Linked DNA regions of Daphnia pulex. The protein of the gene in region 2 purifies or fractionates together with the protein of the main gene of each other region. This does not show direct contact. Links are inferred from orthologs where the notes say so. Each region holds a gene or a part of one and is shown on either strand. Other genes may lie near its edges.

What was found.
Region 1: the proteins of metaxin-2-like (region 2) and MICOS complex subunit MIC60-like purify together in Homo sapiens (co-immunoprecipitation; 5 studies listed by BioGRID and IntAct, counting the BioPlex papers as one, with this or other methods). This does not show direct contact. The link is inferred for Daphnia pulex from reciprocal best matches to the Homo sapiens genes MTX2 and IMMT.

The regions. Positions count from the first base shown.
Region 1 is NC_060018.1:5,994,787-5,998,851, reverse strand, and holds the start of MICOS complex subunit MIC60-like, read right to left. Parts: upstream 2,801-4,065; 5' UTR 2,673-2,800; coding exon 2,569-2,672; intron 2,505-2,568; coding exon 2,313-2,504; intron 2,253-2,312; coding exon 2,191-2,252; intron 2,133-2,190; coding exon 1,972-2,132; intron 1,912-1,971; coding exon 1,849-1,911; intron 1,776-1,848; coding exon 1,634-1,775; intron 1,575-1,633; coding exon 1,316-1,574; intron 1,258-1,315; coding exon 1,158-1,257; intron 1,095-1,157; coding exon 951-1,094; intron 874-950; coding exon 742-873; intron 673-741; coding exon 199-672; intron 132-198; coding exon 36-131; intron 1-35. Other genes in the region: peptidyl-prolyl cis-trans isomerase NIMA-interacting 4-like, read right to left, coding at 3,304-3,462, 3,537-3,656, 3,717-3,799, 3,939-3,966. UniProt on the Homo sapiens protein: Component of the MICOS complex, a large protein complex of the mitochondrial inner membrane that plays crucial roles in the maintenance of crista junctions, inner membrane architecture, and formation of contact sites to the outer membrane.
Region 2 is NC_060026.1:12,796,497-12,799,730, forward strand, and holds metaxin-2-like, read right to left. Parts: upstream 1,878-3,234; 5' UTR 1,764-1,877; coding exon 1,718-1,763; intron 1,656-1,717; coding exon 1,528-1,655; intron 1,469-1,527; coding exon 1,352-1,468; intron 1,298-1,351; coding exon 1,205-1,297; intron 1,133-1,204; coding exon 968-1,132; intron 910-967; coding exon 833-909; intron 770-832; coding exon 577-769; 3' UTR 501-576; downstream 1-500. Other genes in the region: transcription initiation factor TFIID subunit 4-like, read right to left, coding at 1-332. UniProt on the Homo sapiens protein: Involved in transport of proteins into the mitochondrion.

The DNA of each region.
Region 1 (4,065 bases), on a different chromosome or scaffold from region 2:
GTATGAAAGGAAAAAACAAAAAAACAAAAATCAACCTGCAAATAAGAGAGCGCATAACGAAGGATCGATCCACCATTCTCATCAATCAGAGCTACACGTCGACAAACTCTTTCAACATTCAAGAAACGTTCCTGAAAAAAAAAGAGTAAAATTTAAACGTAAAAAATACTTCAACAAGAAAATATTTCAGGGCGTTACCTTCAGAGCACCTTGGGGAAGGATTCCTTGATCTAGAGCGGTTGGTGGGATGGATTCGATGACTGCCAGAGCAAATTCATCATTGTTGTTTAGTGCTTTGTTCAAACTACTCAGATTGAGAGGGTGGCGTTGCTCATTCCATGGCAAATGGACTGAATTGTTACTGCGCAGGGACTCGATCATCGATTGAGCTGCAATCCATAGCTCACGAACTTGACGAGAAACTCGGTCCTTTTCGGCGCGGTCATGGATCGCGTCTTGAATTCCTTTGCCCATTCCGTGAAGCTTCGCCAGGTTTTCATGATGGGACGCCAACAACTTTGCGACTTCTAGTTCACGTTCAGCATCAAATGTTCGCTTTAGTTCTAGACGTTGCGTCTTTAGAGTGTCATTTAAGTGATCAGTATAAGCAGCAGCTTGGAGTTTAAGCTGCTGAGTAAACTGATCCGACAAGGTTTTTTCATGAAACGAAATCTGTTAAAGAAATCGACACACACATTAATGGAATGATTTGTTTAAACAATAATGGGCGGTATAACTCACATCTTGATTATATTTCGCTTTTAGTTCGTAGTATTGTCTTTCCAATTCGACTCGTAAACGGGATTCCAGAACCGAATGGTCTTCTTTTCTCTGGGTATCTAAAGCTCCTTTCAGGCGCTGCTGCTCACAAGACTAGATATACAAATTTTAATTGCTGTAAATTTTTGTAAAAAAACAAAAAACAAAAAAAAAAAAACATTTAAACTAACCTGTTGCCTGGCTAGTTCTTTTTGCAACGTTATTATCTTCCAATAGGCATGGGCCATCAAAATATTGATTTCCTCTTCACCCAACTTGGAACCTTCGGTTTTAAAACTGGGTGCCAATTCAGGACGAATGGAAGATAACTCCATCTTGAATAATGCAAACCAAAGACGTTGAAGTTATAAATTTTTGATAAATATTCAATTTGTTACCTGCAAGTTGTGCCTAGCAGTATCAACAAGTTCACGATATTCATCCATAACTTTGGCTTCAGACTGAGCCGCTTCAACTCGTGCTTTTGCAGTTTCCAAACTAAATACCAAACATTATAGCCACTGGAGGTTTTGAAGCAACATTCACAAATACGTACCTATAGAGAGCACGGGCAACGCTTTCGTCAAAAGTAATTAGGTCAGGTGTTTGTATACTTTGGTCATTCTTTAAGCCATGAGCTACAGCTTCTTTCAGCTGAGCTACGGCCATTCTGGCATCATGAGCTCGAGACTCGGCAACATGCACAGCTTCATTTTTATCGTGTGTCGCCATGAAGACCGGCTCCCAAATATTTTCATGTGTTTGACCAGGCTCGTAAATCTTTTCTAGTGACTTGAAGACCAATTCAACATGCTCTACAAAAGATAAAATAATATAAAATAATTGTTAGTCTGATTATTTAGGAGACGGTTACTTTTGATGGAGCATGCAGCCATATCTTGGGCTGCAACAGCTTCTTTAACAGCGTCAGAAGCTTTGGCATGAAATTCCTTAAGCAAGTCCCCAAATTCGGCGGGAGTTAATTCTGATAAATTAACTGCAACTTTTTCGAGAACCTAAATTATAGGAAAAATAACTAAAGATTTTTGTTTTTTGAAGTTTTGATGTACAAATCTGAAAGTTTCTCACCTCTACAGCTGAACTATCAGGTTCAGATTCATTTACTACTTTAATATTTTCATCTGTTTTTACCTGAATGCAATTTGGAAGTCAAACATAAGGTATAAGCAAATAAAATAAAAAACAGTTTACTTCTGGGTCTAAATTTAAAGATTCTTCAACACTTGATTGATCATTGTCACAAAATTCTTCCACAGATTTTATGACATCGAAGTCTGGGGGTGGTAAATCGATTGAGGATATGGGTAGCTCTTGTGGGCTTGATTCTTCCACAGGATTGATGGGCAGCTCATCTAGGAGAGAAAAAAATTGCTCCAAATGTACAAGAAAATAATTCAAATGTTTATCTACCATCTTTTTTCTTGAGTGCTTCTCGTTCCAATTTTTTCTTTAAAAGTCCATCTTCCTTTACTCTGAAGCAAATAAGTTTAAATAAATAATCAATAAAAGTCTAGAAACAAAACTGATTATACTTGACAGGATGCTCAAGTTTTGGTAAATGGGAAACTGAAGGTCCCAGTAGTAAATTGAACAGAAATGAGGTTCCAGGAATATTTTTTTCAGAAAATTTCCTAAAACCATCACTTGTTTTGGCTAAGACAACAGAACCACCAACAGTTGCTAGAATAGCAGCTCCACCAATGGTTAAAATTTTGCTTCCAGATCTACAAATGAAATTATTACAGCATCTGGTATAAAAACAACTTACGAAAAAAATACACCGGTTACATTTGATTTGATTTTCGGCTGTTTATGTTCCGGCGGATAATTTGTCTTCCGTTTTGCAATGATACCTTCGACTGAGAACAAATTCTAACTGGTGCCTTCCACATTCCTGAAAAATGATCTAACTTTTCCTTGGATCTTCAAATGATGGAAGAAAATATTCCTGCCACTGTTGTAGTCTCGGAGTAATTAAGGGACAACAGACGACAAATATGACTCAAGTAGTAGTTCTTGTTAAACAGCATCCATCAGATAACGTGAACACATTTTGTGCCAAATCCCAAATTTTCTTGGAAAATGTTTCGAAAATTAACTCATTCCTTTTAATCCAGAGCTCGGCTAACATTAGAAAATAAATTCCTAATTTGTTTATTGTATAACTTGAAAGTGAAAGATTTTAGATTTAGAGCAAAATCAACCACCAGCATATGTTGTTCATGTAATTCGAAAGAATATTTTGCTATTTTCCAAAGATTTCAACATATTTGTTATTTAAATTTGTTCACAATTTGTATAATCAATATAGATGCCAGTCAGAATGATCTACATCTGATATGTAGGCCTATCACATTTAACCCTGCATTGGATGATCCAATTTGGATAATCTTGGATGTTTATGAATGTTTAATTCATAAAAGAAATTCAATTAGCTTTTTGACTTATAGTAAAAGTGAATTTAGAAGAAACCATGAAAAATGCAATTTTAATTCATGTAACAATATGTTGTTTTTATTTTTTTTATTTTTTCCCTTCTACCATTATAATGTGGTACCCAAATTTAGTTTTAACAGGTGGATCTGTGTAGACAGGATTACCCAATGATGAAATTGGTAGAGCAAAGGCAGCTTCTTGAAAAGGGCCAACCATAGATCCTCTAACCATCCATCCAAGGTCCCCCTATTTTAATATACAATAAAAAATGTAATAAGCAATTAGCATAATACTTGATTAACACATTGATTAACACTTACTCCTGATCTTGCTTTATCCTCACTGTATGTTGCAGCAACTTCATTGAATTTCATACCAGCTTTAAGCTTTTCAAGTGCTTCTAGAATTTTTGATTGCTTTTCACACAAAATGTGTCTAACCTATGCAAGAATAATATTTAAAAACATAATCTTATTTTATTGAAATATATCTTATTTTACCTTAATCGTACTCCCAGTTCCTCCTTTTTTGTCTTTACCCTTGTCATCATCTCCTCCTCCTCCTCCAGCACCTTTCGACTTTCCTAAATAGTCAATGAAACTTTATAAACGCTTATTTTCACAGTAGTAGAAACTTCTGAATTCTGACATATCCTTTTAGGTGTAAACAAATATTTAAAAAACACAACTATTTCACAAGGAAACTAATCAAACTATATGTACCAGCAGCTGCTGCTTTTTTAGGTGGCATAGCTATTATAATTCCCAATTCAAAATTCTAATCTTTTTATGAAAAAAAAAAATCAAAAGTCAAGAGTCAAGATTTTAGAACAATTACAAACGCGCTTTT
Region 2 (3,234 bases):
GGAACTGATGCTGCTGGCGCGCAAGTTGTTGTTGCGTGCAGGCTACTGCCGTTTCCCGCGAATGTTGCCGTTGTGGTGGCAGCGGACGGGGTATTGGCAGGCTGCAGCGGTGGAGGAACCGACGAGGTAGAGCTTGTCGTAAAAGCCAAGCCGCCGCCTTGTGTGTTATTACTAGCACCAACATTTGCATTACTCAACTGGCTCTCAAGTGATCCAACTAACGCGGAGACAGCGTCGGCATCCGCTGACGGGTTCGAGATTAAATCGTCCAGGAAGCTAGACGCCATTTTCTGCTCCGAACCCGGTTCCCAAACTGACTGTAAGCAGCTCATTTCCCAACCTCTGCCCTAGCGGCAAAACGTTGAAACGTGTCACTCCTCCCCTAGCATAGTCAAACCACCTAGTGTTCATTTTTCAAACCCTTTACTATATTTTTTTGAATTTTCTACTCTTGTATTTAATAACCGCGTGTGTGCTTACTCTAAAGGATATCATATCAATGAAATATAATAGCGTGTAAATCTCAGAAGTATGGGGCTATTATAAACTTTACAACTTTTCCTATACTATTTGAACTTAGTCAAAATTATCGCTGTCATCGTCCGTTGTCTTGGCGGTTGGTTTCTGGAAGTAAGTCTTCTCAAGGAACTGGCAAGCCTCGACCAGATTCGGGTAGGATCGCACAATGGATGCTAATCTATTGTCGGGCAACGGTGTGGTCAGCAAAGTAAACACATGGCCAAAGACAACCGCATCTAATTCCGTGCATCTAATGACGAGGAACAAAGTCAGCACTTATTTTATTAGAAACCCATTTTAAAAAATTTAATACCTATCATTAAAGAAATAAAGGTGGTTTCCTAATCGCTCACTTAGCGCATTACAGCAATGATCAACATCTTCATATACCTGCAGGAAAATAATAAATAATTTTCTAATGCAAAAACTATTAGACCAAACAAATCACCTCATCAAGTGTTTTGGTAATCCAGCCAAGAGCAGTTAATTTCTTAGTTACTTGTTTCTGTTTTCTCCAGGTTAGCAGAGTGTTCAAAGGCCAAGAATAGACAGAGCCATAACGAGGACCAGTTACTTCATTCAAAACAGTTTCATCACACCAGCTGATATATAACTAAGTAGGAACAAACACTGCTCATCAATCACATAACACACAAAAGTAGTTACAAATATAATAATATAATACCTCTGCATTTCCCAATATATTGTTTGCTAAAGACATGTAAGCTCTCATGTCTGCTTTTTGAGCAGCATCCAAGTGATCTGTAAGATTTATACCCTACAAAAAAAAACACGTCATAAAATGGGATTGTAGAGAAAATATTGAAAATACCTTGTTGCTCACAAAACTGACAACAGGGTCAAGATCAGCTACTACAAAGGCACCACATTTTATGAAAGGCAATTTTCCGGATGGTGACATATGCTCAGCATTGCTTCTCATTTCCACCTAAGAAAAGAAATAAATCAATAACTTAAGATTTCCTTAGTTTTAGTTTTCCAATTTACCTGAAATTCTAAACCACACATTCGCAGAAAAACTTGGACAGCCAAAGAATTGGCTTGATCTTGCAATAGAATTTGTTCAACTTCATAGGGCTGATAAAGTTTGACGTCAGAAGGCCAAGGTTCCAAAGCTATTAGGTTTTTTTAAAAGTGAGAAATAAATGTGAAAATATAAAATATCCAAAATGATTACCTCCAAGCTCTAATGAAATAGAGTCTGTTAGTAAAACTGATGGCATTATCGTAATGAATTAAACTTTTATCGGCTAAAATAAGAAAATCACAACATCAATACGGAATTATTTTTAGATCGGCTGCTGCGGTTTTTATTCAGAGTTGCCAAATTACGCAAAAATGATGAACCCAAAATAAATTTCAAAATTGGATTTTTCTAATAAGCTTAATTTACTGACCAACTAGTAACTAGATATTTAAGAATTGTAGTAAAAATTTGTCATTGAAATAATTATTGCATCATAAATCATAATTATATTTGTAATCAAACGTATTCAAAATTCAAAATGTTTTGCTGTGAAAATACAGGTTGATAGAGAATGTATTAATTAATAAATATTTCTACCAATTTGTTTTTTATATTAAATATAGTTAAATGTTCACCTGTAACGTAACTTTCTGCTTTTCAACGCCCTTCTAAATGCATTTCTACGAAATGTACTTGCCACATCGTACCGCGAAATGCGAATGTCGCTAGAACACGTCGTCGTGCTCCACATAATAATCAGTTCCCTTTTTGCAAGCGTAAATTTCCCTCTAGGACCGACCTGTTTTTGTGTGTTTTGAAATCTGTTTTTAATTTACTGCTCCTGATTTTTACCTTTAAAAAACTTGATTTCTGACCCAAGTTCTATTATTTGTCGAAGTGCGCGTTATTTTCTCGTGATGGTAATTGATACCAATTGATGCTAAAAAAAACCGTAACAATTCAGTATCTTGTTTCCAGGATGCCGAAAGTGGTCGCAACATCAAGTTATTCACAAGTTTTTCATTGACCGCTTTTTTGTAGTGAAATTTCAAGCTATATTTAGCCTTCGAATAAGGCAAACTATTCGGGGATTTATTATTAATGATATGCGAAACGTTTTCCGGGAGCTCTGCCGACTTTTTCCACGAGACAATGACGAAGATCTTCGTTGAGGGTCCATTTCGAGACTTTTTCATTTGTTTGTTGTATTAGAAATTCAAGGAATCGCGTTGTTTGGTGCTATCTGACGTCCTTGTGTCAACAGACCTTGTCATCGCCGTCCCATCGTAGCCCAGACAGACCAAACCTTTTTCGGAGAAGAGTCGTAGACTTTTGACATTTCAATATTTATCATTCGGGAAAATATTTTTCATCCGACTGCATTTATTATGCACGTAATGCGCTTTCGAGCAATAAAAAACGCAACGGGACTCGGCCAACTCTCTCAATTGAATTGACTGACAATGTCACCAAATTATTTTCCAACCATGTAGGCAAGGCTCCCAACGCAAGATGGCGCTGAGCGACTTCTCATAACAAATGCAGACAGCGCCACGTTGTCACACGTCAACAAGAAACGCCAGATGAAAATTATATAACACAGTAGAAATCGACTACCAAACATTTGTTTTAGTTTATTCAAGAAATTCTCGACTTTCAAAATACAAACCAGCTCATTGAAGAAATTATCTCGATCCGGAATCTTTATGAATGACTCAGAAGTTGTT